Linked DNA regions of Sus scrofa. The protein of the gene in region 4 purifies or fractionates together with the protein of the main gene of each other region. This does not show direct contact. Links are inferred from orthologs where the notes say so. Each region holds a gene or a part of one and is shown on either strand. Other genes may lie near its edges. The genes, in order: PDS5B, NIPBL, REC8, SMC3 and CDCA5.

Region 1 (6,423 bases), on a different chromosome or scaffold from region 4:
ATTATAATTATCTCAGAAGAGCTTTAGATTTACTTCAAATAACTAAATTTTACTCACCTTAGTTTAATCTTCATGAGTTTCTCACTGAGCATGATCACCCCCACCAACTTAAACGATTACAGTTTCAAAGCAGCAAACTTACCCTTAATTTTGGCTTAGTAAGAAAAGGTTATAAAACCATTTTCAAGTATTGGGGAAAATGGTTATCAACAGGCAGTTCATAACAGTATAGTGTAAAGAAGAACTGACCTCTCCACTGCAAGAAGTGAGAATTTCAAATCACCTGGCAGCTTCTTAAATAAGCTTAAAAAGTAAATATGTTCTCAGAGAAATTACTGGATTTCTTTTTAAACTAAGTATTTTTGGAATTTTCAACATTCCCAAACAGGAATATTCATATCAAATACAATTTCCCCAAGCACCTACTGTAATTGGAAGTGACAAATGACTTGCATAGTAAATTGAGTTTAAAAGTTTAAAAGTTAAAAAAAAAAAAGGAGTTCCCATTGTGGCGCAGTGGTTAACGAATCCGACTAGAAACCATGAGGTTGCAGGTTCAGTGCCTGGCCTTGCTCAGTTTCCGTGAGCTGTGGTGTGAGCTGCAGATGCGGCTCGGATCCCGAGTTGCGGTGGCTGTGGTGTAGGCCGGTGGCTACAGCTCCAATTAGACCCCTAGCCTGGGAACCTCCATATGCTGTGGGAGCGGCCCTAGAAAAGACAAAAAAAAAAAAAAAAAAACCAAACCTCACACATGCACAGACATATACATCTTATAACAAAATAAAGTTCAATACTAACTTCCAAACTACCCTGGCTTAAAAGTGTAACAAAGAATAAATAAATGCCTTGTCAAGTATTTTTACCCAATGAAAGATCAAGCGGCTCCAGGAGACAGACAAGAAAGAGGTTATCTTCTGAGATAATTTAAGTGGACTGAATCCTGGATAGACGTTATCAACCAGACTCTGTGTTAACCTCGAAACTCTATTTCTTGGTTGAATGAATGAAAAAGGGAGGAGGGGATAGAAAATAAGATGCTATCTGGCAATAATTTTAAATATTGCTTAAATCCTGAATAAAACAATACAGACCATGTGGATGCTTCTAAGCCTCCAGGAGATCTAAGGACTACCCCAATTCCACCATAAGGATATAACTGTGACTTTGGCTAAACCATTCAAATTATAATCTGAACTAATGTCTCATGCATATGATAAGTGAGGTGGAAATCATCTATGTTTCCTTATAGCTCCCTAACACTAACAAAGGAAACACAAATCTACTCTTTTGAGTATATATACAGTACTTGTCATCAAAACCAAATCACTGTAAGCTCTCCTGTAGGTTCTAGGCACACATGATGAAAAAGTAGCACTAAGGAAGCCACAGGACAATCCTACTACTCAAAGAGGGAGAAGCAGAAAGAATACAATCTTCCAAAATATTCCCCCTGACACAAAGTTTTGGTTACCATTTACTTTTCACCAGAGCAAGCCCTAATATAGAGTATTGCTTTATTTTAGGCCTAACCAATTATTGATAAAGCCTAGTCCTCAAAACATAACTCTTTGTGACTGTTAAAGTTTCAAAACAACTTTAAACTTAAAAATGTTATCCAAAATCCAACTCAGTACAACTACTTATCAAATAAGCTAGTACAACATCCCATGACAACAAGAATCACTATCATCACTTTATCTCCTCTAATTCTTGGGGAAAGTGATGGAAAAGAAAGCATAAGCATACAAGAATGAAAGTGACAAGAAGAGTAAAAAGCTACTGTAGGGGTGGGAATGGTTTAAAAAAATTAATTTAATAAAAAGCTTCTGTAAAAACAAAGTTAATGCATGGATAATCAACCTCAACAAAAGAAAAATAAGAAAGAGCACAAAAATTCTTCAAGGCAAAAAAAAAAAGTCAATACAAACACTACCATGTCATTTAAAATACACCTTCAAGTAAAACCCAGAGATTTTTTTAAACCATCAAAAAGGCAAAAATAAATAACTACTTCAGTAATCAAAGAATGTCTAAAACGCACCTTTTCTATATACACTTGTAAATTCATTTTGAAAGAATAATGTTCTGACTTAATTTTTTTACACCTAAGTTTTTCAAAATAAATCTATCTTAACATAAGAAGTTTCATGTTGAAACTTTCACCTATATATTCACCACTACAAATTTTAATTAGGTTTTCTGCTACTACTCAGTGATACAAAATTAACTGTTCCACAAACTGACCTGCATACACCATAAGAATGCTCATTTTACGGTTCCTAAAAATGCTAACATTTCTGACATATGCAGTGCATAGATAAGTGTCTTTTCTAACCCTTATTTTGCTTAATACCATTTTTGTGTTTTTAACTATTTTACTTGACTACTGTATAAGTTAGAACAGAAAATACTCTATCTTGGGACTTCACATACATATGCTGAGAACAATGATTATACATACTGCCATCGAGGTTTTGGGTTTTTGTGGGGGGGTTTTGCCATTCAAGTTTTAAATAATTATGACTCATGTACAGCTCGCCTCTTATATACATAAATAAACTTGGATTCTTAATGATTATTAGGAAGACAGCCGGTGACCCCCAAATCACTCAAGACCACAGACTAAACCTTCGAAATCAAAGGCTATATCCAAAATTTCCGAAATGGTTTAATAAACAGGGTTGGTAGGGTCGTTCAGGACAGTACCGTCCAGCCATCATTTCATAATAAAAGTATAAGAGCGTTCGAAGTACGTTTTTCAAAGTCAAATAAAGGGTTCTCTTTTGGAGTTGATTAGGATGCCCAAAACGCTCTTTCCAACCCTATCCCGAGTTTGCACGGGCCGCGGAGGAACGGAGGAAGCGGCAGTTCTGAAGCGGAGGTGCTACGTTTCTGGGTTCGGAGTCATTCCCTCGAATAACTGTACCAGGGCTTAGCGTGTCGCGGCTTCAGCGCATGTACCAAGAGGCAAAGCAGCACAGAACCACAAACAAGCTTTTTCTCCCGACCAGAAACTTTTCAGGTGTCAGTAAGATAACAGACTCAAAAAAACGTCAACCAGACACCGTTTGCACTGTCGTTCCAATTCCGAGGCTTCCTAAAGGAAAGCTAGGACTCAGTGGTCGCCAGGGAGGAGCCACTCCAGCCCGTCTGGACTCTTCCCCAACTAGGTCCTCGGGTGCCCCCAGCACCAGCTCCAAGAGGCGCGGTGAGCGCGCTTTATCTCTGGCGACTGGCAAGTAACCGTATAAAAATGTCACTCTATCGGCCCTTGTCGTCGCCCGGAGCAGAGGCTGCGCGGAGCGGGCCCGGCGCGGGGGACCCGGCCGCGGGGGCGGAAGGGCCGAGGCCCGCAAACCGCCCCGGGGTCAGCCGGGACCCGCGCTCCCCGCCCCTCGCCCGGAAGGGGGAAAACCCGCCCGCGGGAGGATTCAACAGGAGCGCCGCGCCGCCCGCCTGCCGCCCGGGAAACAGCCGCCGGCCGGCCGGGCGCGGGGGGGAGGGGCGGCGGCGGGGCGCGGGCTGCGGGGCGGCCGGGCAGCCCGGCAGCGGGCGCGGACCCCCGGCGCGCGCAAGGTCACCGCCCGCGGCCCGCCGCCTCCGTCGCCGCGGGCGCCCCGGTCGGGCCAGGGCGGCAAGTTTAATTTCCAGAGGCTGCGGCTGAGCCCACGGCGTGGAGGGAACACGGCGGCCGAGGGGCCCTCCCCACCCCCCACCGCACAGCCGGGCCCACGCCCCCGGCCCGCGCCCCACTCCTCCCGGCCCCGCCGCCGCCAGGCAGCCGGCGGCTGCAGCCCCCGATGCCTGGAAGCGAGTCTCGGCTGGCAGGCGGGCGGCGCTTGAGCCCCGCCACAGACACAGCCGCGGTGGCGGGCGCTGAAAAATGGAGCGCGGCGACCAGAGAGAAGAGACATTTTCTTCCCGTTAACTGAATTGTTTCCTACCTCCGGGTGCCCGACTCGTTACTCCTCTCACTCCGCTGCTCTCCGGGATCCGCCGCCGCCGCCGCATCCAATCGCCTCCTCCCCCCCTCCCCTTCCGCAGCCAGCCCCGCCGTTCCTCCTCCTCTCCGCTTCAAAATGGCGCCAAGAGCTCTTCGGCGGCTGCTCCAATCGAACCGCCGCGGACAGCACCGGGGGCAGGCAGAGCGCCGCGTGGGTGCGCAGCGCCCCCTGCCGACCGGACAGCCTCGCGCGCGTGCCCGCCGGCCTCCCCTCCGCCCCGCCCCGTGCGCCCGCGCGTGCCCGCCTCCGCCCCGCCCGTCGCGCGCGCACGCAGTCACACGGGCACGCCGCCGCTGTGACATCGAGACCCGGGGCTGTCAATGCTTTCTCTGCTTCTAAGGCTTCCTTGACTTTTGCCGAAAACCACGTAAATTGTTATATACCTCTACCTTTATGGATAAAAGTTGGGAATTTTTTAAAACAATGAAACAATACTAATATCGTGCTAAGTAAATAAAATTGATGTTAACTACTTTGCTCCTTGCTAACGCTGACCTAGTCATCTCAAAATGCCCTGAGTTGTTTTTGTTTTTGTTGTTCTTGCACTTTATATGTTATGTCTTTACTTAATCTCACAGCTGTCCCATTTTCAGGTATTGTTTAGGCGGTGGCTGCGAGGACATAACAAGTCCACCTGTAACAAAGCATTCCATTCATTTTATCACAATTGTCCTTATTACAGGGAGAAATAATCTGAAGAACACAAGGAAGTCTTCTGGGAGGTGGATTTCTAACCCCCTTCACCTCCAGGGGATGCCGCTCCTCACTTCTGCAGCTGTACTACGAGTATATTGAAAGTTCATCTGGGGTCCGTCGTGGCGCAGTGGTTAACGAATCGACTAGGAACATGAGGTTGCGGTTCGGTCCTGCCTTGCTCAGTGGTTAACGATCCGGCGTTGCGTGAGCTGTGGTGTAGGTTGCAGACGCGGCCGGATCCCACATTGCTGTGGCTCTGGCGTAGCCGGTGGCTACAGCTCTGATTCGACCCTAGCCTGGACTCCATATGCCGGGAGCGGCCAAGAATAGCAACAATAACAACAACAACAAAAAAAAGACAAAAAGACAAAAAAAATTAAAATAAAATAAAAAAAAAAAAGAAAGTTCATCTGGAGATTTACTATTAGGATGGAGAGAGAAAAAAAAATCTCTGAGGATTAAATGAAGCAGTTGCTTAAAAAAAAAAGGAACTATGTTGTATGCAATAGCAAATGGATTTACAGAAATTAGTAATATAAACCTTCATTTAAAGCAACACTATTTAGGGAAACAAATCTGAAGTTGGTATTAAAAGAAATTAGTATTAAAAATAAATGTCTGTCTTTAGGGCTTTAAAAAAACCGAATGTGAGGGGAGGGTGTATATGAGAAATCTCTGTATCTTACTCTCAATTTTGCTATAAACTTAAAATTGATCTAATAAAGTCCAAAAAATAAGCAAATTGTAGTTCATCAGGAGCAGTACAATTGGATGCAGCATAATTTAAGATAGATAAACCGGGAGTTCCCGTCGTGGCGCAGTGGTTAACGAATCTGACTAGGAACCATGAGGTTGCAGGTTCAATCCCTGGCCTCGATCAGTGGGTTAAGGATCCAGCATTACCTTGAGCAGTGTTATAGGATGCAGACTCTTCTCAGATCTGTCCTTGCTCTGGCTGTGGTGTAGGCCAGTGGCTGCAGCTCTGATTGGACCCCCAGCCTGGGAACCTGCATGTGCTGTGTGGGTGTGGCCCTAAAAAGACAAAAAAAAAAAATCAGTGGTGAGAATGATGAAAAAATTCTGATTTGCAGTTCCCATCGTGGCGAAGCGGAAACAAATCTGACTAGGAACCATGAGGTTGCAGGTTTGATCCCTGGCCTCGATCAGTGGGTTAAGTATCTGGCATTGCCATGAGCTGTGGTGTAGTTTGCAGACTCGGCTCAGATCTGACGTTGCTGTGGCTGTGACTTAGGTCGGCAACAACAGCTCCGATTAGACCCCTAGCCTGTAAACCTTCATATGCCTCGGGTACGGCCCTAAAAGGACAAAAGACAAAAAAAAAAAAAAAAAATTCTGATTTTATACAGACTTGGTTAAAAGAATTATCTTTGATTATAAAAAAAACCCCACAAATCTGGGAGTTCCCTTCATGGCTCAGCAGTTAATGAACCTGACTAGGTTCCTTGAGGATACCAGCTCGATCCTTGGCCTCGCTCAGTGGGTTAAGGGTCTGGCATTGCTATGAGCTGTGGTGTAGGTTGCAGACATGGCTCATATCCTGCACTGCTGTGGCTGTGGCCAGCAGCTATACCTCCGATTCGATCCCTAGCCTAGGAACTTCCACATGCATGGGTACAGCACTAAAAGCACACACACACAGACAAAAACCCCCACAAATCCCTGTGCTAGTTTTTTTATGGCTATTGTAAACAAATTATAAAAA
Region 2 (5,896 bases), on a different chromosome or scaffold from region 4:
GAACATAAAAGATGAATACACAATTTTAATCTGCACACAAAAACCTTTTCTAACATGGTGGTAATAGAGTCTATTCACTCAACAGGAATTTAATGTGCTTTTTATGTACTAGGTATTATGCTAGATTCTAGGGATATACACATATCCCCTGAGAAATAAAATTAAATACAACAATGTCACTTTACATTTAAAATGTTCATACAAAAGACAAAAATAAATACTAGGAGTCATAAACCTATAGCCCTACCACTCAAAATTTATCAGCTTAAGGCATATTCAAAAAATTTAAAATTACCCTAGATGGAACTACAGACTCTCATATTAAGTGAAGTGAAGTCAGAAAGAGAAAGACAAATACCATAGGATATCACTTATATCTGGAATCTAATTCATGGCACAAATGAACCTATCTACAGAAAAGAAACAAACTCATGGACATGGAGAACAGGCTTGTGGTTGCCAAGGGGGAGGGAGAAGAATTGGAATGGACTGGAAGTTCGGGGTTAGTAGATGCAAACTACTGCATTTGGAGTGAATAAAAAATGAGATCCTACTCTATAGCACAGGAAACTATATCTAATCATTTGTGATGGAACATGATGGAGGATAATGTGAGAAAAAGAATGCATCTATATGTATAACTGGGTCACTTTGCTGTACAACAGAAATTGACAGAACACTATAAATCAACTATAATACAAAATTTTAAATAAAGTCACAAACTATAACTTGTCAGAAAAATTTACCTGAGAGAATATTTTAAATATGGATATCAGGTAAAATATTTAAACAACGAAACGCTATAGCTCTTCCAAGAAAGGAAACGTACCATGAATTTTGGCCCTAGGAATCAATGACAAAGTATCCCGGCAATATTCAGTTTTTGCTTAGGAAAACACCAATGTATCTGAATACGTCATTTTCTGTAACTATCCAAAGACAATCCCAAGTAATGTGCACTATGAAGTAGTAATCCACAACTGGCCCTTTCTATGTATGTAATTTTAAAAATCCACAATTATGTACCTCTGCTATTGCTGAGTAGCAGAGATCTAAAATAAAGCTAAAATTGGTACATTACTGAAAAACAGTTGTTAAAGCTATGGCATAAATAAAGCCAAAAGATATCTATGTGGGATCATGAAATGAATCTAAGCACTGATGAAAAGGTTCACTTTTTATATTTGCATACATATTAATATGTGTATTTACATACATGCACATGCTTACACACAAACATCATATTCTAACAGGCAGACACACCCAGATTAGTTACTAACACCAACATATCAAGTATATACATTTGTGTTAAAGGTATATTTAGGAGAAACAGTGGATTAGTATCAAAAAGTTTATATTCACAAGCAATGAAATCATATGTGAAAAAAAAAAAAACAGGGGCAATAACACAGCAGTTACTAATTAAGAGCTATATTCATTTCTTGATGTTCAGCTGTAAGGATTCTTTGTTAGAACAGAGCTCAGAAAGCGAGGCTGGCATAAGCTGACAGAGGGCAGGGGAGAAAAAGATGGTCCAGATGAAGGGGACAAGAGGGTACCACTTTCCATCTTTCCAACTGACTTTTCTAAAGTTGTGTAATTATAGTCTTAAGTTTAAATATATATATAAGCCACTCCAAATTTTCATGAAAATTATTAAAGACAATCTTTATCTAAAAGAAAACAATTATAGTGCTAACCACTACATTCTAACAAATTCTTTTACATAAACAATTCTAAAAAGAGGCGTTCAACTTAAAATACTAAAGACTATTAACCAATTAAAGCTAGAGTTTTAATTAATTTCCACAGGCCTGACTGGCATAATTTAAAATCTGAAAGCTTCAATAAAATAATACAAATATTAATGACTCAGAGGCAATCTTTTCATTTTTGAAAGACAAAACTGAGTGAATAGTGAAAAAAGCAAACATTTGAGAAGACCATCTAAGAATAAAGACAGATTAGTCATGAAAAGTTATTTCTTTGAATAAAGAGTTCTAAGTAGTAATACTGTTTTCAATGAGCTATTTTTAACAGAGAAGGTATAACAGCATTCTACAAAAATACCAATATACCTTCTATATCTCCTAATACACTGCAGTAGATCACAGCTTTCTGTGATGATGCATATGTTCTCTATCTGCAATAAGGGAAGCAACTTGTCATATATAGCTATTGAGGATATAAATTTTTAATTTTACATAGTTTAAACTATATACCAATCTATTTATATTGCACAGGCTAAATAAATCTTACCATACAGCATCATCAAATTACGTGTGTGGTGTGTGTGTGTGTGTGTGTGTAAAAGACAATATATAAAGGAACACAAAATTATATTTTTTGTACAAACTGCCACTGTACAGAAAATATTCAAGCATTTAAGACACCCCCAGAAACAATATCACTCAAGTAACCAGAGAACTTAGAAATCATGCCAAACCCTTTTCCCCCCAAAAAAACAAAAAGACAAAAACCACCCAAACAAAAGTACCAAAAAGCCTTACAAATTGATGACTGAAGTCAATTTAAGAAGGTTAAATTCCATTTCCTATGACTTTTCCATAGGAAAGGGCAAAACTATTAAAAAAAAAAAAAAAAAAAAAAAAAAAAAAAAAAAAAAAAAAAAAAAAAAAAAAAAAACTATTGCAACTTTCAAAACTAATGAAACAATTAAACAGGAAAAAAACCTTTTCTCTGTGTACCAATAGTAAAATCACAACTATGGTGAGAAGTTCAAGTAGAGTGGGAAAAAAGAATTTTCACGGAAAACTTTTTATCTACATTACTGTAAATAATTCACTGTTGTTTTATATAAAAGTTTTATTTTCATATAGTAGTATTGATTTTTGTAAATTTCCCTTTCAGAAAAATCCATAGTAACCCTAAAAATCAAAAGAAAACTGATTAGAATACAGATGACAGAATAAGTATTCTTACCTTTATTTGATTTTGATGGTTTATTCTTGATAGGTTTAAGGGAACTTCTTGATTTATCCTCTCTATCTTTAATAAGTTTCTGAACATCATCCAAAGACAGTTTTTGCAGAACAACTACAGGCTTAGCTCCTTTATTTAGATCTTCAACTAATCCCATTTTTTCTACTTTGTCTTTCTGCTCTCCTTTCATTTCCATTTTCTTTGTCTCCTGAGTAACATTGCCATCTTTATCCCTCTTGATTTTTGGAATGACAAAATTTTTCAATGCACCAGACCTGCCCCCCAACAAATAACTTGGAAATTCTGCCTTATTGTCAGGGTGCGTTTTATTACTGTCTATTTTACTCTTGTTGCCTTCTGTCCTTTTGTCATCTTTACTATTTGGTGATTTAAAACCAGGCTTATCAGGTCTTGATTTATTAGAATCTCCTTGTTTAACACGAGGACTGTCAGGTCTTGATTTCTGCTCCCCAGAAGACAGTCTTTCCCTTGAGTCCCCTGATTCATGTCTGTGTTTTCTTTCTAGTTTATCAGGTTTTGAACCATCAGATTTAATGCCATGTTCATTTCTACTAGAGGATCTCAATGTTTCTGGTCTTCGAACCCTAGATTGATCACCTCGATGTCGCTCAGATTCACTCCTGTCATCTGACTTTTGTTTACTATCATGGTCACGTCTTAGTGACTCAGAAACAGATCGCCCATCAGGTCTCTGCTTTAAGGCTTCAGCTCTTTCTGATTTTAACCGAGGTGAATCGGATTTAATATCCTGTTTATGTTTAGACATTTCAGGTTTTTTCTCTGTTGATGGTTTTCCAGGATCCCTCCTATTTTCATGTCTATGTTTTGGTGTTTCAGGACGACCTTCATTTTTTTGCTTTGGAGTTTCAGGTCGGCCCTCACCTTTCTGCTTTGGAGTTTCAGGCCGTCCATCGCCCTTTTGCTTTGGGGTTTCAGGACGCCCCTCACTCTTTTGTTTTGGAGTTTCAGGTCGGCTTTCACCCTTTTGCTTTGGGGTTTCAGGTCTTGACTTTGCTGTTTCTGATCTACCATTATTTTGTTTGTTGTCATTTGGTTTTGTGTCAGACAGTCTATTTTCATTCTGTTTAGGCTCGGCTGTGGTGCTCTCATTTTGCTTGGATTCAATCGTTCTGCTCTCATTCTGTTTAGGTTCTTCTGTTTGTATCTCAATTTTAGTATCTAACTTACTTTCACTAGATTTTGTCTCTACCAATCTGTTTTCATTTGGTTTAGATTCTGCCAATCTACTTTCATTTTGTTTCATTTCATTCTTTGAAAGCTCAGGATCAGACTTTTTTTTAGGAGTCTCAGGATGGTTTTCTGGTGTAGATTTAAGATTTCCAATAATATCTTCCTGAAGAACAGAAATAGGTGCATCATTACATTGTTTGATTTCTTCAGGCTTTTTTATGGAGTCTGAATCCTGAGTTACAGAAGCCTGAGAGTCCACTCTTCCTGCCTGATGAAGATCAATGCTAACCATTAATGCTGGCCTTGACCCATTTCCCGTAGAACCCGTCTCCTGAGAAGCTGGTCTATTACCTCCTGTAGCACCCCCAGCCTCCTGTGGGTAAGAATCTTGTTTTCTTTTTTTCAAAGGCTTATCTGAAATTCAAAGATAAATATTCAGTATCAGTAATAGACAAATATTCTTATCTTATTAAAAACCTTATGGACTTTGACTAGTTTCTAAAGTCACAATGTTTTTCAAATGTGGTGAATGCAAATGTCAACAGACATATATAAAATAGTAAGCACGAATGGCATAATACTTTTCAAACAAGGTTTGAGGAAGTATTCATGCTTGCTGTACCTCAGTAGGTATTAGTGACTATAGTAAAAAGATCATTTAAACTGCTAAGCTAGTAAAAACTACAAAGAGCTCCAAATCTGCCCACATACTAAACAGGAAATTAAACTTTTGCCACAAGTAAGAGAAGTATGGAAAAGAATAAAACCTAAAATAAAATAGAAATCATGCCACTGAAAAAAAGGTGAATGAGGAGAGTAATAAAGAAAAAGAAAAATTTAATAGTTTATTATTAATCCAGGATTCAAATTCTTCAAGGTGTCAACAGCACAAATGGAATTTAAAAGCTAACACACAGAAGCATATTTAGATAAGGAAAATACAAGTATAGAAATGAGAAGCATATAATAAGAACTTTTTAGATAAATCCTATCTCAAGCAACTTCAACTGAAGAAAAATGCTTCAGCTCTTCAACATAAGGTCTAGGGGGTCTATATATTGGCTCGGTAAGAAATAATTTACAGTATTCCACAATATAAAGACAAAATACACACAAACATAAATCTATCACTTTAATTAAATGTCATGGTATTTTTAACAGCTAGGTATTTCTGTGCATGATTCCACTTGACCCAAGAGGCTCCTAAGGTCATTTTCTATAAACTGAATCTCCAGTTAGGTCTTAGGAATTATAACGTGATTTACAACTATAACATTACAGCATCTTGAGATTTTTGTCTACTTTAATAACACTTGCTGAATTGCCTGGCGGTTTTAAAAGTCATTTTAAACATTTTTTTCAGGATAACCTTTAGATTCTCTTACGGTATTCATTAATGTGATAAAGTATCTATCATTTAAGCAAACAGGATCACAAAGTGAAAAGTCAAACTGACCACCAAAAAAACAGCCCCTTAATACTTTGGAACAGAGTCCTGGAAAAAAAGATTTTAATAGTAATGATTCTTTTACACACCAAAGTTCCATCATTTTGTTTTCAAAGTGAGAAGGAGCAGTCCCTTCCAGCTTAAAATCTAATTAAGTATTACTAAAACTTACTTCAGATATTTGCCAGTAATTTTTTTTGTAGAACTAAGCAATTCTGCTTTTTCAGTGATTCAGAAATCAAATCATAACATATGCTCCATTTGCAAAATAACTACATGATGATAATAAAGCAT
Region 3 (6,627 bases), on a different chromosome or scaffold from region 4:
ACTCTTGTGAGGCAGTGATGAGGTTATATGCATTCAGTGCCCCTCACAGGGCCTGGCTCCTAAAAGAAGCTCAAAGAGAGTTATTTCTTCAGCTAGGGACCTTCCTCTGTTTCTCATCAGAAAGCAGCCTCTGTCTGCTTACCTGGCTCTCTAAGCTCTGTAGGGACTTCAGGAAGGATCTCCTCAAGAACTTTCTCTGGGGTCACAGCCTCTAAGAGGTGTCGAAGCTTTAGGGAGGGATTGGGGACAAAAGATAGAGTTCAGCTTCAGCCCCTGCTCCCCCACCTTCACGACTTTAGTCAGACAATGTGCACGGTACCCCCTTATGCCTAATTCTGTGGCACTGACATCAGCATGCAGTGAACCCACCAAGCTGTTGGTTTCCTTTCTTCCCAAATATCTAGCCTGTGTCAGTTTGTCTGTGAAAGAAGTACTGCATCCTTTTGTCAACTGTTGTGGGGGACAGAGCAAACCAAAAGGATTCTTGATCTTAAGTGTATGATCTCAAGGAGTCCCCGTTGTGGCTCACCAGAAACAAATCTGACTGGTATCTAGGAGGACGCAGGTTCCCTGGCCTCACTCAGTGGGTTAAGGATCTGGCATTGCCGTGAGCTGTGGTGTAGGTTGCAGATGCGGCTTGGATCCCACATTGCTATGGCTGTGATGTAGGCTGGCAGCTGCAGCTCCAATTTGACCTCTAGCCTGGGAACTTCCATATGCCGGGGGTGTGGCCCTAAAAGACAAAAAAAAAAAAAGAAGAAGAAAAAGCGTATGGTTTAGTGGGAGAGGAGTTTTGTTATGACCCCAGCAAGAGTCAACACAAATGATGCTGAACACTTGAAACACTTGAAACTAATACATTTTAAATCAACTATAATTCAATAAATTTTTAAATTAATTTGTTCTTCAAAATAAATAAACACAAAGGATAAAACACAGGTGATATGTAAGTTCCAGAACAACATTTGGTTCTGGCCAGGTGTGGGATAAAGGCTTCATGTAGGCATTCCCATCATGGTGTAGCAGAAACAAATCTGACTAGCATCCATGAGAATGCAGGTTCAATCCCTGGCCTCACTCAGTGGGTTAAGGATCCGGCGTTGCCATGAGCTGTGGTATAGGTCGCAGACGTGGCCTGGATATGGTATGGCTGTGGCATAGGCTGGCAGCTACAGCTCCAATTCAACCCCTAGCCTGGGAACCTCCATATGCTGCAGGTGCAGCCCTAAAAACAAAATAAAACAAAAAAGACTTCATGTAAAAGAGTAGCATTTGAGCAAGGTTTGTAAGAAAACAAAGAGTGACCATTATGGGCTAGAGAAACAGTACAAAGAAGGGAATGTGGCATCTTTGTGGCAAATGGGCCAGGCTGGTGTCTGGGAGACAAAGATGCCCAGGGGATGCACTGAGAGGCATCTGGGATGGCTGCCTCTGGACCAGGATGGAAAGCCTTAAATGTTAGTATTCTGTTTGCAGTGAGGAGCCGCTGGAGGTGTCTTTGAAGGAGGGGAGTTAACACTGTATAAGTGGTAGGGGTGTTAGGAATGGATGGACAAAGACGTGGGTAGGGAAACCCAATGCTGAGGCACACTGAGCGCCTGGATTAAGGCCTTGACTCTTGGAACAGTGTGGAGACAGTGGAGATAAGGGCTGCCTCTAGGTTGGTCCTGAATAGATAAGTGCATCACGCTTGTCTGGATGGGTCTGCACTGACTGCAGCAAGCTCCTGCCCTCCCCTGTGCACTGTCAACTCATCAGTCCAAGGTGCCCCAGGGGAATGAGACCTACCTGAGGGATATCGAAGGGACTGGGCAATCTGGGTTCCTCAGACATCATCCCAAAAAAGGGATCTGGAGCATCTTCCAGAGTCTCCATTATGGCCAGATGGTTAGGAAGAAGCAGGCTAGGTCTGAGGGGGAATGTGGGGTGTCAAGGGCTGAGGCTGGGAGTTCCCATTGTGGCTCAGCCGTTAAAGAATCTGACTAGCATCCATGAGGACGCAGGTTCGATCCCTGGCTTTGCTCAGTGGGTTAAGGATCTGGCATTGCTGTGAGCTGTGGTGTAGTTCGCAGATATCTCTTGGATCCTGCATTGCTGTGGCTGTAGCATAGGCTGGCAGCTACAGCTCTGATTCAAGCCCTAACCTGGGAACCTCTGTATGCCGTGGGTGCAGCCCTAAAAAGCAAAAAATAAAAAAAAATTAATAAATTAAAAAAAAATTTTTTTTAAAAAGGGGATTGAGGCTGAAATGGGCTGAGGCCAAGCAGGGAGGTTTGCCAGCAAAGGCCGGATGGTCCTAGTCCCAGGGGCACACTCACAGGTCAGTCTCCACCATGTCTATGCGGATCTGCAGCTGGGCGCGGTGCAGGCGCTCCAGAATATGCTGGATATCATCTGTGGGCAGGAAGGATAAGGCAGAGAACCTGCCCAGGCCAGGGCCACGCAGCTCTGCCCCACCTCAGAACCTTCCTGGCCTTACCTACGAGGTACTGGCACTGTTGAAAGTAGACCCGGATGATGCCGATCTGGAGCTGAGCTGAGAGGTATAGGGAGAAGCGGGGCCGCGGCAGACCAGGCAGCGGGGGCTGCACCCGTACCAGCACATAATTGAGGATTTCCTCGCTGGGGGAACAACGTGCCCCGATCGCCGCTATGCCAAAGACCAGCCCAATCCATCCCCTAACCCACTCGGGCCCCAGGCCGCTCTTCCCTTTTCTGGGCCTTACCAGGTCTTCTCCACATTCACCTTCAGGTATTCACGCTTCACCAACCGGGTGCCGCGCGTCGCCGCAAGCCTGGAAAGAGGGTGGGGGGATGGTTGGAGGGGGAGCCCTCAGCCTGGGATCCGTGGGGGCCCCTCCCGGCCAGCCCTGCCTGCCCTGGTCTGCCCTTACCAGATGGTGGCGAAGCAGCCAGTGTGGCGCTGAAGCACGCTGGGGTAGTAGAACATGGTCCCTCCGAGGTCTCACCCTCGTCTCCACCACTCTTCCGTTCGGATCTCAATCCGAATTCTTCAGGACACAGGGTTTCCCAACAGCATTAGAGAGAAGGCTGTGAACAGGTGGTGCGGAGGGTGGACCCAGAATGCCAAATAAATGAACTGATAAACGACTAAAGGGATAAGGAAATGAAGACGCAAACACTGGCGTAGGGTCTCCCTCTCCGCGGGCCCGAAGCGGGTCACGCCACATGGGTGCTTTGAACTTACTGGAGACTTCTGGGTTGGGTTCCGGGTTGGAGATTCAGAACTCCGTGATGGGAGGCCTGGGGTGCAATCCAGACCAGGGTCCAAGGGAGATCGGGTGTCCTCCGGCCTCTGCACACCTTTGGTCCCGTCGGTGCCAGCCGGGTCCCCCTCCCGCAGGGTTAGATCCCGCCGCAGGGAGCGCGTGCTCGGGTGTTTTGTCCTTCGCTCCTCATTAGACGGCAGCAGCTCCGGGAACAGCCAATGGAAAACAGGGTTAGCTTGGGGGCGCTAGTTCCAGGCCACCAAGCAGCCCGCCCACTTGGGTTCAAGGCAACAGGGGTCTCCCGAGGCAGATAGCTAACCAATGGGAAGAACCCTGGGGGTGGTGGGGCCATTGTGAGATGTCCCGACCAATGGGCTCTCGTCCTCACCTTGGTAACAGGGATTCCTTGGAGGCGCTTCTCCGCTGACGAATGAGCGAGGAGCAAATCCCAGCCTCTGCCTGCAGGGAGCCTGGCAACGAGGGCGCCTTTACAAATCCAGGAGGTGAGGTCATGCCCGGGGCAACCGCCAGGTCCTGGCACCCTGACCTGCAGTTAGATGTTGCCTCTTTCCCCAAATCTCACCGAATAGCAATTGGTTGGTCCACCTTTGTGCCCAGCCTAGGGCCTGTAATGAGCTGGGGAGGTGGAAAGGGTGTGAGTTGGCCTTGGAGCTGCCACGGATCAATGGGAAAGAAATCAGATCCCGCAGGAAGCAGTGAGAGGACTGGCCCGTCGTTTCCTAAGCTTGAACAGTTTAGGTTGTGGACATTCTTCACCTGGTTGTTTTGCAGTGTGAACGTTCTCCTGGTTGAGACTTTTAAAGTTTTGTTGGAGGCAGGGCATACTTCTCAGCATACAAAAATCATTTGTTTCAGACAGTTCTTTGTGTAATATAAGCTATATGGTTGTAGTTACGAATATCCCTTTTCCCACACCTCCTGCCTTTACACAGTCATTTCTTTAGCTAGAATGCCCTCCCCAGGCTTGACTCCAGGGCACGCTTCTGCTTCTTTAATACTCAGCACTTCTTAACACAAAAATAAAATGGCTTAAAGACTTAAATATAAGACATAATGCCATAAAACTCCTAGAAGAGAATACAGGCAAAACATTCTCTGACATTAATCACAGCAATATTTTCTTTTGTTTTTTTTTTGGGGGGGGTGGTCTTTTGTCTTTTTAGGGCCACACCTATAGCATATGGAAGTTCCCAGGCTAGGAAAGTTTCCAATTGGAGCTACCGCTGCTGGTCTACGCCACAGCCACAGAAACGCACGTCTGCGACCTACACCACAGCTCATGGCAACGCCGGATCCTTAACCCACTGAGAGAGGCCAGGGGTCGATCCTGCAACCTCATGGTTCCTAGTTGGATTTGTTAACCACTGAGCTACGACGGGAACTCCACGGCAATATTTTCTTAAGGCAGTCTCCCAAAGCAAAAGAAATAAAACACAAATAAATAAATGGGACCTAACGAAACACAAATAGTAGATGCAAACTATCGTTGGGGTGAATAAGCAATGAGACACCTGGTGTATTGCACAGGGAACTGTATCTAATCACTTGTGATGGCACATGGTGGAGGATAGTGTGAAAAAAAGAATGTGTATATATATTCTTGCTCAGCAAAGTAAACCATAAACAAAAGGAAAAGACAACCTGTAGACTGAGGGGCAATATTTGCTAATGATGCAAATGACAAGGCCTTAATTTCCAAAATACAAAAACAGTTCATACAGTTCAATATCAAAAAAACAATCACCCAATCAAAAAATGGGCAGGAGTTCCCCGGTGGCCTAGCTGTTTAAGATAAGGCATTGTCACTGCTGTGGCTCAGGTCAATCCAATCCCTGACAGAGGAACACCCACACATTGCAGGTGTGGCAAAGTTGGGGGGGTGGGGGCAGAAGACCTAAAGACCTAAAGAGCCACTCAGAGTTCCTACTGTAGCACAGTGGGATTTGCAGTGTCTCTGCAGCTCTAGGACATAGGTTCAATCCCCAGCCTGGCACAGTGCCTTAAAAGATCCAGAGTTGCCACAGCTGTGGTGGAGGTCACAGCAGTGGCTTGGATTTGATGCCTGACCTGGCAACTCCATACACCAGAGGGTGGCCAAAAAGAGAGAAAAAAAAAGACATTTCTCCAAATAAGACATACTGATGGCCAATAGGCACATGAGAGTATGTTTAACACTGCTAATTGTTAGAGAAACGAAAATATGCAAATAAAAATTACAATGTCATATCGTATCATACCAGTCAGAATGGCCATCATCAAACAGTCTAGGAATTCCCATTGTGGCTCAGTGGTTAATAAATCCCACTAGGTGCAGTGGTTAACGAATCCGACTAGGAACCATGAGGTTGCGGGTTCGGTCCCTGCCCTTGCTCAGTGGGTTAACGATCCGGCGTTGCCGTGAGCTGTGGTGTAGGTTGCAGACTCGGCTCGGATCCTACGTTGCTGTGCCTCTGGCGTAGGCCGGTGGCTACAGCTCCGATTCAACCCCTAGCCTGGGAACTTCCATATGCCGCGGGAGCAGCCCAAGAAATAGCAACAACAACAACAACAACAACAAAAGACAAAAAGACAAAAGACAAAAATAAATAAATAAATAAATAAATCCCACTAGGAACCATGAGGTTGAGGGTTCGATCCCTGGTCTTGTTCAGTGGGTTAAGGATCCAGTGTTGCCGTGAACTGTGGTGTAGGTTGCAGATGCGGCTCAGATCCCAAGTTGCTGTGGCTTTGGCATAGGCTGGCGGCTACAGCTCCGATTGGACCTCTAGCCTAGGGAGCGGCCCTAGAAAAGGCAAAAAGACAAAAAAAAAAAAAAAATAAAACAGTCTACAAATCATAAATGCTGGAGAAGGTATGGAGAGAAGAGAACTCTCCTACACTGTTGGTGAGTATGAAAATTTGTACAGCCACTATGGGGAATAGTATGGAGGTGCCTTAAAAAACTAAATATAGAGCTACCATATGATCCAGCAATCCTATTCCTGGGTATATATATCTGGAAGAAATGAATACTCATTCTAAAAGACACATTCACTTAAATTTTCATAGCATTACTTGCAACAGCCAAAACATGGACGCAACCTAAGTATCCATCAAGAAATTCATGAGTAGGAGTTACTACCATGGCTTAAGTGCATTAAGAATCCAACTGCAGGCGTTCCCAATGTGGCTCAGCCAGAAAAGAATCTGACTAGCATCCGTGAGGACGCAGGTTTGATCCCTGGCCTCACTCAGCAGGTTAAGGATCCAGCATTGCTTTGCGCTGCAGTGTAGGCTGCAGATGAGGCTCGGATCTAGCGGCATTGCTGTGGCTATAGTGTAGGCTGGCTGCTACAGCTCTGATTTGAACCCTAGCCTGGGAACCTCTATATGCTGA
Region 4 (5,896 bases):
GAATTCCTACTGGCCATACTTGGGAAAATTTAAAAATCAGAAATAATAATGGCAATGTGTGAATACACTGAATAAAAATTAAAAATCCACAAATCACAATAATACATTAAAAAAAGGACAGGGCTCTTCTTTACATAATAGTGAAAGCAATCATGGAATTTAAGAATCACCACTTTGAAACCCTCAATGTATTAACCGAGTCAGGCAAGGGTCACCAAAGGATGCTAAACCACTGGTAAAACAAGTTTTTGGAAAACCTAATATTGATGTATTCTCAAAGGATAATCTCACATACCACTTACTGATTACAAAGGGGAAAAAGCTTCTTTACAACCAAGATTTGCTAGTAGGCATCTGTGACAGTGCACACTTTGTGTTCACAATAGGAAGTACACATCACTCATTTCAAGAATGCTTATCCTAAACCTAATGAATCGAATAAGACAAATCCAGAAAACAAAACTTTTTTCAAGAAAGTCAATTTCTAAGGGTGGGAAGGAATAGGAGGAATTGTCCTGTACTGAAACTGAAAGAATCTAAAGAGAAAGTATTCCATGCATCCTTGTTGGATCCTAGACAGAAAAATATTTTAGGACAATTAAGAAAACTTGAATGTACTTTTTAAATGATGTAATTGGATTAATATTAAATTTCTTAGCTATAACAATGATCTATGACTATAAAGGAGAATGTCCTTATTCTTAGGAAACACATGCTTAACTTTTAGAGATGAAGTTTCACAATTTTTATGACTTATTTTCAGATGGTTCAAAACAACAAAAACTTCTAAACATATAGAGGTAAAGCTTCTTTCATTAACAAACTACAAAGAGAAGGAAAATACAGAAAACGAAGGTGAACGAACCAATATACCAGAGGTTTTTAACCCAAATTCTGATAAAATTTAGGAGAACCATTGCTAAATCTCATGGTTTTTTTTCCTTTCTTTTCCTTTTAGGGCCACATCTGCAGCATATGGAAGTTCCCAGGCTAGGGGTTGAATTGGAGCTAAGCTGCTGGCCTACGCCAGAGCCATGGCACTGCCAGATCTAAGCCTTGCCTGCAACCTACACCACAGCTCATGGCAACGCCAGATCCTTAACCCACTGTGAGAGGCCAGGGACTGAACCCGATCCTCATGGATACTAGTTGTATGTGTTTCTACTGAGCCACAAGGGGAACTCCAAAATTTTTGAATACCTTAAAGAATAAATTACTAACATATTTTAAAAAATAACAATGCCAATGTAACTGGTGTCTTTTGTAATCCAAAGCTATTTTATATACTCAAAAATATTTTGAAAAGGGTCCATAGGCTTCACCAAAAACCAAAAAGAGTTCATGGTACAAAAAAGATTAAGAAACCTTACTAGAGAATAAATGATTATACTTGAATAAATTTGGATAAACCAACTATATTAAAAATGAGAAATAAATGGACATGAATTTCAAACACTCTTAAAACTAAAATGGAATCTATTTACTCAAAGTTAAGAATTATTACAAACCTTCCAGGGTAATGCAGTCCATTGTGAAAGCACGGGCCAACTGGGTTGAAACTTCCATACTACGACAAATAAGTGTTTTTCCAAACACATGTTTGAAAGCCTTGTCAAATCTGGGATTGTACCTCAATTTACTTATCATAGGAATAGCATCCTGAAAAATGAATATTTTGTTAACAAAGAGACCATAACACAATTAAAATGTCTTAGCAGAATTATGAATAACATCTTTATGAAATACAAATAAACACAAATGTCTTCATACTTTTATATTAATGTTTCCATATGATTGGTAAAACACTGAAAATGTTAGAAAAATCACTCTATTGAAAAATCTTAGAAATTGTGCTCATGTAAATCATCCAGGTTTTCAATACTAGAACACAGTGATAAAGACCTTAGTGGCTCTGGAGCCAGACTGCTCAAGTTCAAATCCCAGTTCTGCCACTCAGATGTGTGCTCTGGACAAACTACTTAACTTTTCTATATAACAGTTATTTTATTTACAAAACTGTAATAAAAATACTACCTTAATGACAACGTTAAGACAAGGTGAGTTACGGAGTTCTCACTGTGGCTCAGAAGTGAACCTGACTAGTATCCATAAGGATGTGGGTTCAATCCCTGGCCCCACTCAGTGGGTTAAGGATCCAGTGTTGCCATGACCTGGAGTATAGGTCACAGACACAGGTAAGGTCTGGCACTGCTGTGGCTGTGATGTAGGCTGGCAGCTGTAGCTCCGATTAAACCCCTAGCCTGGGAACTTCCATATGCTGCACCTGTGCTTCCCCCCACACACACCAAAAAAGACTAGGTGAGTTATATATGTGAAACTCTTAGGATAGCACCTGTCAAATAGAAGGGCTAAATGTAAACTACTAGTGTTTCCTCAAAATATTTTCATTTTATTTTTATCTAAGTTGGATATTCAGAAAAATAACTTTTCAAATAAAATTTTTCCCCTCTCTCCTAAACTGTCAGAACAGAATTCAAAATTAGGAAATACATTCTACATACAGAAAAATACCATAAATATGTTAAGCCTAAATTAGTAATTACAAAGTGAACACCAATATAGCCACCATGTACGACAAGAAAGAAAATACATCCAGAAGCCATGTGTGTAGCTCTTTCCTAATCACAGTGGTTACTTCTAATGGTTACCTGCTAGAGGTTACCACTATTATAACTTTTGTGGTAATCGCGTCCTTGCACTTTCTTGTTCTATCATACTAAGTTTACTTTTTAGTAAAAAGGGAATCATACTACATGCATTCTTTTGTGTCTTGCTTTATTCACATATCACATATGACTCAATTTATTCTAAAACTTCAAAGACAATTTATAGATTTAAAAGGAAAAAAAAAGTCAACCAATTAAACAGCTTATAAGACTCTCACTGTTCCTTTTAAATTGTAGATCATTCTCATAGGATTTTAGCTTTAACCTTAAAAAATAGTGAGAGTTGCTACTACTATCAACATTTTGAAGCCAAACACCTAAAAGCAATTACATTTTTTCAAGAATGATATCTAAGGGAATATTTTTAATTCAAGTATAGTTAATTTACAAGGTTGACTTGTACAAGGGAATATTTTTAATCTGTTTAAAAAGTATAGCCACTAATATCAAAAGCAACATTATGCTTTCAGACTCTATCATCTTGCTAGACACTTCTAACTTTAAACGATTTGAAAAAGTATATTCGGAAAACCTTAATATATTCACTTTAAAGTGATAGTTCCTCAGGAAATTCTTTTCCAACTATTTAATCTTAACTTTATCTAAGATACACTCTCAACATATCCTGTACTTAATATATTTTAACAGTTTCCGCTTTTTAAAATGGCTTGTTTTATGTCTTGGCTGGGACCTCTATCTCTATCTCCCTTCCCTTCTTCACCCAGCACTGACTATGCTCTACAGTAAGAAAGGCCTATTTATCTCACAGACCATGTGAATCCCAATGTATAGTGCCCATGCACTAGCATGTGCTAAACACAAGAAAAAACTTACTGAAAGAAAGGCAGACTTTAACACACATCAACTCACATTGGTTTCAGGATAGGCAGTATCCCTGACATCTAACTTGTTAAGAGGCAGAAAAGTAACCTCTCCAGGAAGGTTCATTTTATTAAACTCCATCAAAATCTTCGTGCTGACTTCATCTGAATCAACAATGTGATAAAATAACCTACATGTAAACAGAACAACACGTCTAAAGTGCTGTAAACATTTAAGCAAACAATTTACTTTTTTTCTATGCAATCTTATTTGTATGGGGGAGAGCAAATCCAATCGAGAGTGAAAAAGTACAAAAAGGGGAAATTTTAGCTTTTACAGTTAGAAACAACACTTAGCATGTATATCTTTAATTAAAAAAATGAGTAACTAAGGATACAGGATGATATTGGGAGACATAATGTAGTAAAACTACAAAGAGTTGTTTCTTGGGTTACCCGTATTCCCTCTTTCCTTTAAAAATTCAAAACAACAAAAAAATCTTACCGGTTTCCAGCAGTGACTTCCACACATGTGTAGAAAGCAGGCTCACATTCAAAGTTATTCATCACAATACCATGATAGCCATTCTGAACATGTTGGTTTATTCCTTTTCGACGAAAGTGGTCTAGTACTTTGTTGATGCTGTCTATTCCATTTAAAATGGCCTATTTAGAAGTGAAAAATATTAAAATATTGCCAATGGTACTTCTGCTGGTAAGAACTCATTACTCTATACAGTAAAAAATATACTAGATTAAACACTCTCTCCAAAAACAGGTCACTCCCTTGAAATATGCCAACTACGTGCAATATCTTATATGTTCCGACATTCGCATTAAAAATGAAAAGTGCTATCTTTACTAGCAAATGTACTTAAATAATACCCATGGTTTCATAAGACAAGTAATTTGCAGTCTTCTCTTCAAAGCTAATACATTCTTGTCCAATAACTGACTCAATGAAAACTAAGGTAACGAAAAGAACCTGCGAACCTTTCCTGTTGCCGCTCTAAGAAGTTGCTGTTTCTTTTCTAGATCTTCTCTTTTAGCAGCAAGTGCTTGCTGTTCTGCATTCTCCTCTCGCCACAAGTAACTAATAAATAAAAATTAGACTGTCTTTAATTTTAAAAGCATTAAGACAATGCACCAAAAGTATACAATTTTGAGTAGGTACTGAAATTAAATTTTAATAATTTATAACTTAAATACCACTTAACAGCCAGTAACAAGTATTACTCAAAAAAATATTAAAGAAGGAGTTCCCATCATAGCTCAGCAGAAATGAATCCAACTAGGAACCATGAGGTTGTGGGTTTGATCTGGGGCCTCACTCAGTGGGTTAAGGATCTGGCATTGCCGTGAGCTGTGGCGCAGGTCGCAGACAAGGCTCGGATCTCGACTGCTGTGGCTGTGGCGCAGGCCGGCAGCTGTAGCTCCAATTAGATCCCTAGCCTGGGAACCTCCATATGCCACGAGTGTGGCCCTAAAGAGACAAAAAAATAAATAAATAAAAAAAATAAAGAATATTTCAGTCTATACTAACTTTCTTTCACTTTGTAATTCATCTTTCTTATTTTTTACTTCATAGTATTTTCTGTCCAGTTCTTCTACTCGAGCTTTGACTTCATTAAGATCCTGATCAAGTTTCTATGAAAATAAAAACAACTCAAATTTAAAATCCACCTTCATATAAAGTAATCCATAGTGACAGAAAGCAGATCAGTTATTACCAGAGGATGGGGGAGGAGGACAGGAAAGAAGCAAGGGAGATATTACCAAGGGGAACAGGAATTATTTGGGGGTGATGAAAAGTTTATATTAATTGTGGCAATGGCTTAACAGGCATATAAACGAATAAACACAATTAATTTGTTCACCACTACTAACTTTGACCTTACTACTTCTCTAACACATAACTCTAAAAGAAGAAAAAACACATTAATAAATTCTCAAAACACTGTAGTGCATACTTTCCATACTGCCCCCTTTCCACACATACACAAGAACACAGGAGACTTAGGAATACACTAAAACGCAAAAGGCTGCTTTGCACAATGTAATCAGCACTGTAATGTCATCTCTACCTACCATAAAGAGCAGAGTTCACTTTCACAATTGGCCATTTTGATACGCTAAACTATGACTGAAATATTGAAAAATAACTTCAAAAAGGAATGAATAAAACCTCTCACTGGAAAAATGTGTGTACGTTAATAGATAACAAGGTCAAGCCACGAAGTCAAGGAAAGACAGGAAATGGTCCAGATTAAGGGTACTAACAGAAACATGACAAATGCAATATATCATCTTAGATTGAATGTTGAATTTTGTTCTCGTCCACCTTTAAGAACTGAATTTAACATGTGTAGCTCCTGGAGTTCCTGTCAT
Region 5 (5,708 bases), on a different chromosome or scaffold from region 4:
AACATAAGACTTGTAGGAGAAAGAGGCACAAAGTCTCAGAGATGAGGGAAGTGGAGCAAAAGCCAACGCAAAGCTTGGCCTTGAAAAGAGCCCGCTCTCCCTCTGGGTAAGGGCAGGGGGTGGAAGTGGAGAGGTTTAGGGAGAAATGAAGGATATAAAGGCCTTGATTTGTTCAAAGGATGGAGCCAAGGACAAGTGTCAAGGATGAGGGGAAGGAGAGTGGCTCTGCCACGGGCGTCAAGCTGCATGTATGGCCCTGGGCCTCCTGGGAGACCTCCTGGAAACGTGTTTTTGTTTTTGTTTTGTCTTTTTGCCTTTTCTAGGGCCACTCCCATGGCATATGGAGGTTCCCAGGCTAGGGGTCTAATTGGAGTTGTAGCCGCTGGCCTACACCACAGCCCCAGCAACACCAGATCCAAGCCGCATCTGCGATCTACACCACGGCTCACAGCAACACCAGATCCTTAACCCACTGAACAAGGCCAGGGATGGAACCCACAACCTCATGGTTCCTAGTCAGATTCGTTAACCCCTGGGCCACGACGGGAACTCCTGGAAACATGCGCCTCTGACCAGCTCCCCAAGGGGCTCTATACCCACTGCTGTAGAGCACCCAGCTTGGGCCAGTGTGGGAGGAACTGGCTCCTTCACAGGAGTCTGACAAGAAGGAGCAGGGGAACAAGGGCTGGACTCAGGGCGGGTGGAGGGGCCAGGGCCAGGCACTGAGAAAAGCTCTTAGCAGCCTCATCACCCCAGACCCGACGGCTCTATTCCTGGGTCGGGAGGGCGTGGGGCTCCCCTCCAGGCAGCCCTGCCAGGAGCAGCAGGTAACCAACGGGATGGAAAATACAGACCTGGGGGTAGGGGTGGGGGCTCTACCACAGGGCAACTGGAGGCCAGGCTGGCAGCGCCCCCAGTGTACAGGGACAACAACCCTGGTGACACAGCCCGAAGAAAGCGTGGCTTCCTGGGCCCACACCACACCCTCAGCTCCAGCTCTGACCCAGCAAAAGAAACAGTCTATGAACAGGCAGCAACTCTTTAATTGATTGTTTAAAAAAATTTTTAAGACAGTTTTCCCTCAACTCCATTTAGTTTGTCAGGGGCAGAGAGAAGTCTGCAGATAGGACATCAACTCAACATCATTTGACTACTCCTGATTCTGCAGGACAGACACCTCCCAGGAACCGTCCCGCCGCCAGCCAGTGAAGACAAGGTTCCTCGGGTGTGGTCAAGGGCATCTGGGCCCATCCTGGCAAAAGGGCTTGCTTATGGCGTCTGACAAAGCACCAAGCGCTGGACAGGTGGCCGGGGACCGCTAGGCCCCACCGAGTTTAATTAACGCCCACTAGGCTCGAGCCATTTCAGGTACCCTAACACGCAAGTGCTCAGCTTCCCTGATGCCCTCTGCGGTCTGCGAGCCCCCTGCCCCTTAGCCTCTATGTCCATGAACCTGCACACGTCAAGGGCACCGTGGCCTGCACGATGGTGGAAGTTGTAGTTGGACAGCCTTTGAAAGTTCACCTTTTGTCAATATTGAGCAAAGAGAAACAGGGGCTGGGGAGGGGGGATCCCCAGACAATGAGATGACCCCCCTCCCGCCCGAGTTCAGCCCCTAGCACCTACCTCAGGCAGTGCCCTCATGTGAGAGGATGCTCAGGACGCTGAAACTTAAACTGCTCTCCACCCTGGCCCCTTTCCGGCCCATGAGAAAAGCTTCCTAGAACCTTATAAAAGACTAATGTCACCCAGACCATTCAATCCCTACGTTTTTCTTCCAGAGCTGAGCAGACTAACAAACAGGTGTGAGTGACAAGAGGGACCCCTTCCGGCCCTCTGCTGGCATCAGTCCGAATGCCCTGAGCCTCAGGTTCTGTGGCATCTGGAGGCACCTTCTTTGCCCCAAGCAGTCAGTGCCACACCAGCCTGGCGCTTAACCGAACATCCCAACAGCAGAACACACAAAACTATCGAACACAGCTTCTATGTAGTAAACGTGTACAGTCTGAGACCCAGCCAAGTCTTCCCTTCCTCCTTCAAAACTCAAGACTCCATAGGCTGCGTGTCCAGCTTCCTCCTTGGAGAGAACAGCCTCCAATCCACGGGGACAGTCCTCCTGGACCCTCTACAGAACCTAAGAGGATACCCGAGCCTCGTGGCTGGGAACCAAGCCCCAGTAGCGGCAACTCAGAAGACAAAGCCTGAGTCTGGCTGTGGCCCTCAGCATCCATTTCTGGTGGGGCTGCTGCAAAGCAGACACATTTCCCAACAAGAGCACAGATGCTCTCTTTCACTCTCAACTCCTGGCCCTTTAACCTCCTCTGGCTGGGCCTGTGAGTCCTACTCCCTAGTCCGTGGCCCAGCTGGAAACCAGCTGGGATGCTCCAGGAGGTAGGAGGGCAGAGGGTCGTAGGTCACCGACTACAGACAGGACACCAGTGTGTGGCTGGGCCAGGTGGGCCCCGTTTCCTGAAGCTAAGACGGCCCAAAGGACAGGCCTTGTGTGCAGCAATAGCACGTGCACGGGTAACAAAACCAAGGGAGGGGACCCCAAGGGGCTTCTCCACAGGGCGAGGGGATTATGTACAGGGGGAAGAGGGCAGCGTGGCCAGGTACACCCCCATCTCATCTCATTCAACCAGGAGATCAAACTGCTCAGCAGCTTCAAACTCAGCATTCATGGCCGCAGCCCATTCATCCAGCTCCGATTTCTGGGGGAAGAGAGATGGGGGGGCAGGTGAGTGGGGAGGGGAGCACATTGGCTAGAGCGCCTCGTCCCAGACCCTGGAGGCCCTGCCTTTCCCCCATAACAGCCAGGGCTGAGCCTCGGCCCTGCAGTGCCTGGCACATCTCCCCGTGCCCCTGCCCCTCACTCACCAAGATCTCTGGCACCTTCCTCTTCTTCCGTTTCTCCTTCACGGCTGGTGGCGAGATCCCAGGGAGCGTCGTGTCTGGTGCCCAGGGCTTCACAGGGACCCTGGGGACCTCAGTTAACTTTGAACCCACCACAGGTGAGACTCCAGCCAAGTCTTCTGTGGCCAGCAGCCCCTCAAAGCCAAAGCAGGACCGGCGGCCCGGGGTGGAGGTGGAGGCGGAGCCAACAGTCTCCAGGCGGCTGTAGGATCGCCTGACTTTCTTTGACATTTCCAAGTCTCTGGCGTCCAGGTCTCCTTCCCCTGAATTGGACTCAACGTTCAGGGAACACAGCACAGGAGTGGGGGTGGGAGTGACAGGGACACTGCGTGTCTGGAAGAGGTCCTCCCTAGTAGGCTCCTTGCTAGGAGGGTTGTTTTCTTTCTCCAAGAAAAACGCGATCTGTACCAGGACAGGAGAGAACGCCTCCCTGTTAGTTGTTCTACTTCGAGAAAGGCCTGATTTAGGGCGGAAAGACCGACCCGGGGGCACTTTAGAATGGAAAAGTGGAGGGAATTCCCGTCGTGGCTCAGTGGTTAACGAATCCGACTAGGAACCATGAGGTTGCGGGTAAATCTGACTGGGAACCATGAGGTTGTGGGTTCGATCCCCGGCCTCGTTCAGTGGGTTAAGGATCCAGCATTGCCATGAGCTGTGGTGTAGGTCGCAGACGTGGCTCGAATCCCGCGTTGCTGTGGCTCTGGCTGGTGGCTACAGCTCTGATTAGACACCTAGCCTGGGAACCTCCATGTGCCGCGGGTGCAGCCCTAGAAAAGGCAAAAAAAAAAAAAAAAGAAAAGTGGAGATGGGTCAGGAAATACATCAGACCAGAGACAGATGTGGGATGGGGAAGAGACCAGCCGGTCACTGTTCCTGAGTCCACTTTCGTGCCCCAAGAGGACCGGCCACCACCCCTTGGAGCCGCCGGCTCTGGCTCTAAAACATGACTGCAATCTACCCACCTGTGACGGGTGCCCCGGTCCCTGTCCCTCCGGCTCAACACCCTCCTCGCCGCCCTGCCCACTCTGATCCGTTTGTCTCACAGCTGGTGATGATTTTCCTAAAATGTCCACCCAGCCAATAAGTTCTTAATGGTCACCTGCCAGGCACCGTTCTGGGCACTGGGAGCCAGAAGGGAGCAAAACAGAGAAAACCTGGCTCCATGGAGCTTCCACTCTAGCGGGGGAAATAGGTAACCGGGAGAGTCATATCGTCCATCAGAGGCATTAAGCACCTTGGGAAGAGAGAGAGGAGGGGAGGGTGCCCCGGGAGTGGGCTGGAACTCGGGTAGGTGCAGGGCAGCGGAGGCCTCACTCGGGTAGCACGTGAGGTATGACTTGAAGAGCTGAGGGAGTAATTTAACTGGGAGGGAGGCAGGGAGAACAGAAAAGTCCTGGGGTGAGAGTGTGCCAATCGGGGTCAAGGAACAAGGCCAGCGTGGCCCAAGGGAGAAGTGAAGAGAGGACCCGAAGATGCAGCTCAGGTGGTAATGGTGGCGTCGGAGGCGCTCTGTGGCCACAGTAAGGGGAGACCCATGGAGCCTCTTGCTCCGGGACCCAAGGAGCCACGGGAAGGGTGGGAACAGTGCCTAATCTGACATGAGCATTAAGAGGCTCACATATTGGCTCCTCGTAATTCCGATCTCAGCTCAAATGCTGCTTCCTCAGGGAGGCCACCCTCCCCATGGACTGGAGACCAGCCGTCCTCACCCCTGCCAGTTACCCTCCGTCACAATGGCCTCTTTCCTGGAGGCCGCTCTGGCTTAGCACACTCCCTGCCAAGGTCGGCTGCAGTCACACCAAACAAGCCACTGCTCCCCAAACCTCGTGCTTTTCCTTGTGGACTCAGATAGTCCATCACTATCTCATTTTCGCTGTTCACTGGTTGACTGTCACACCCAATTAGACTGTGAGCTTCACATATGAGCAGGGCTTTCCACCTGTTGGACCTTAACCTTGCCTGTGCCCATGTCTAGCGCCTTCAGCGGAGCCCTGCATGCAGCAGGTGTTCAATAAATGCTCACTGAATTAACTTATGCAAAACGTGGCACTGAGTTTCCTGACGGCCAAGGCAAGGAGAGAAAAAAGACAAATTCAGTGACACTTTTGGTCTAATAAAGTTATATTTGGTTATCAAGCCAGTTCCTGAAACTACCATGACCCTGTAAATCAATTATCCTTCAATAAAATAAAAAGTAAACTGATTAAGAGAGGGGGGAGGGTTAGTTCCTGGTACAAGCTCTGGGGAATCTGCCCCATGAGTCTAAGTAAAAGGGATGTTGAACAAAATGAGGGGTCACTGACTACTTCCTCAATCCCTACAGCTAAGCAGTCATCCACGTCCTTGCAGTTTTTTGGGGGGCTCAATTTCATGAATCTATTATTCGACCAATAAGAAAGAGTGGCTATCATAGTGGAGGCAGAAGTCTGCCCTCGAGACAACAAACATGCAAATAATATACTCTCAGCTATGAACAAGGCCTATGGAGAACCACATGGAAAAGGCTTCCAGGAGGAGCTGTCCTTTGAGCTGAGTCCTGTGTGACAGGGGTGGCTGTGTGGTAAGCCGGGGGCAAAGCAGCACTCTGCCTTTCCCTTACTTCAGGCTCCCACTACCTCACTTCAGGATTCCATTCAAGTCCTCCCACCTGGCCTGAGGTCCCCAGAAGGCTTCCTCCAACCTGTTCTCCACCCAGACCCAAGAGGGATCTTTCTAAAACATCCAGGCTTGCCTCAGTTACTACCTTGCTGAAGACTCTCTAAAGCTGCCCACAGAGCCAAGAAGGAAGCCCAACC

Evidence for each region.
Region 1: the proteins of SMC3 (region 4) and PDS5B purify together in Homo sapiens (co-immunoprecipitation; 7 studies listed by BioGRID and IntAct, with this or other methods). This does not show direct contact. The link is inferred for Sus scrofa from reciprocal best matches to the Homo sapiens genes SMC3 and PDS5B.
Region 2: the proteins of SMC3 (region 4) and NIPBL purify together in Homo sapiens (affinity purification with western blotting; 4 studies listed by BioGRID, with this or other methods). This does not show direct contact. The link is inferred for Sus scrofa from reciprocal best matches to the Homo sapiens genes SMC3 and NIPBL.
Region 3: the proteins of SMC3 (region 4) and REC8 purify together in Homo sapiens (affinity purification with mass spectrometry; 3 studies listed by BioGRID and IntAct, with this or other methods). This does not show direct contact. The link is inferred for Sus scrofa from reciprocal best matches to the Homo sapiens genes SMC3 and REC8.
Region 5: the proteins of SMC3 (region 4) and CDCA5 purify together in Homo sapiens (affinity purification with mass spectrometry; 7 studies listed by BioGRID and IntAct, counting the BioPlex papers as one, with this or other methods). This does not show direct contact. The link is inferred for Sus scrofa from reciprocal best matches to the Homo sapiens genes SMC3 and CDCA5.

What each region holds. Positions count from the first base shown.
Region 1 is NC_010453.5:9,012,418-9,018,840, reverse strand, and holds the start of PDS5B (sister chromatid cohesion protein PDS5 homolog B), read right to left. Parts: upstream 4,148-6,423; 5' UTR 3,945-4,147; intron 1-3,944. UniProt on the Homo sapiens protein: Regulator of sister chromatid cohesion in mitosis which may stabilize cohesin complex association with chromatin. May couple sister chromatid cohesion during mitosis to DNA replication.
Region 2 is NC_010458.4:22,273,151-22,279,046, reverse strand, and holds part of NIPBL (nipped-B-like protein), read right to left. Parts: intron 4,570-5,896; coding exon 2,944-4,569; intron 1-2,943. UniProt on the Homo sapiens protein: Plays an important role in the loading of the cohesin complex on to DNA. Forms a heterodimeric complex (also known as cohesin loading complex) with MAU2/SCC4 which mediates the loading of the cohesin complex onto chromatin.
Region 3 is NC_010449.5:75,122,232-75,128,858, forward strand, and holds the start of REC8 (meiotic recombination protein REC8 homolog), read right to left. Parts: upstream 4,383-6,627; 5' UTR 3,209-4,382; intron 3,052-3,208; 5' UTR 2,951-3,051; coding exon 2,895-2,950; intron 2,796-2,894; coding exon 2,727-2,795; intron 2,623-2,726; coding exon 2,480-2,622; intron 2,395-2,479; coding exon 2,319-2,394; intron 1,910-2,318; coding exon 1,789-1,909; intron 228-1,788; coding exon 143-227; intron 1-142. UniProt on the Homo sapiens protein: Required during meiosis for separation of sister chromatids and homologous chromosomes.
Region 4 is NC_010456.5:120,992,425-120,998,320, reverse strand, and holds part of SMC3 (structural maintenance of chromosomes protein 3), read right to left. Parts: intron 5,156-5,896; coding exon 5,052-5,155; intron 4,602-5,051; coding exon 4,502-4,601; intron 4,175-4,501; coding exon 4,014-4,174; intron 3,700-4,013; coding exon 3,558-3,699; intron 1,660-3,557; coding exon 1,509-1,659; intron 1-1,508. UniProt on the Homo sapiens protein: Central component of cohesin, a complex required for chromosome cohesion during the cell cycle. The cohesin complex may form a large proteinaceous ring within which sister chromatids can be trapped.
Region 5 is NC_010444.4:7,105,386-7,111,093, reverse strand, and holds part of CDCA5 (sororin), read right to left. Parts: intron 3,316-5,708; coding exon 2,878-3,315; intron 2,712-2,877; coding exon 2,631-2,711; 3' UTR 1-2,630. UniProt on the Homo sapiens protein: Regulator of sister chromatid cohesion in mitosis stabilizing cohesin complex association with chromatin. May antagonize the action of WAPL which stimulates cohesin dissociation from chromatin.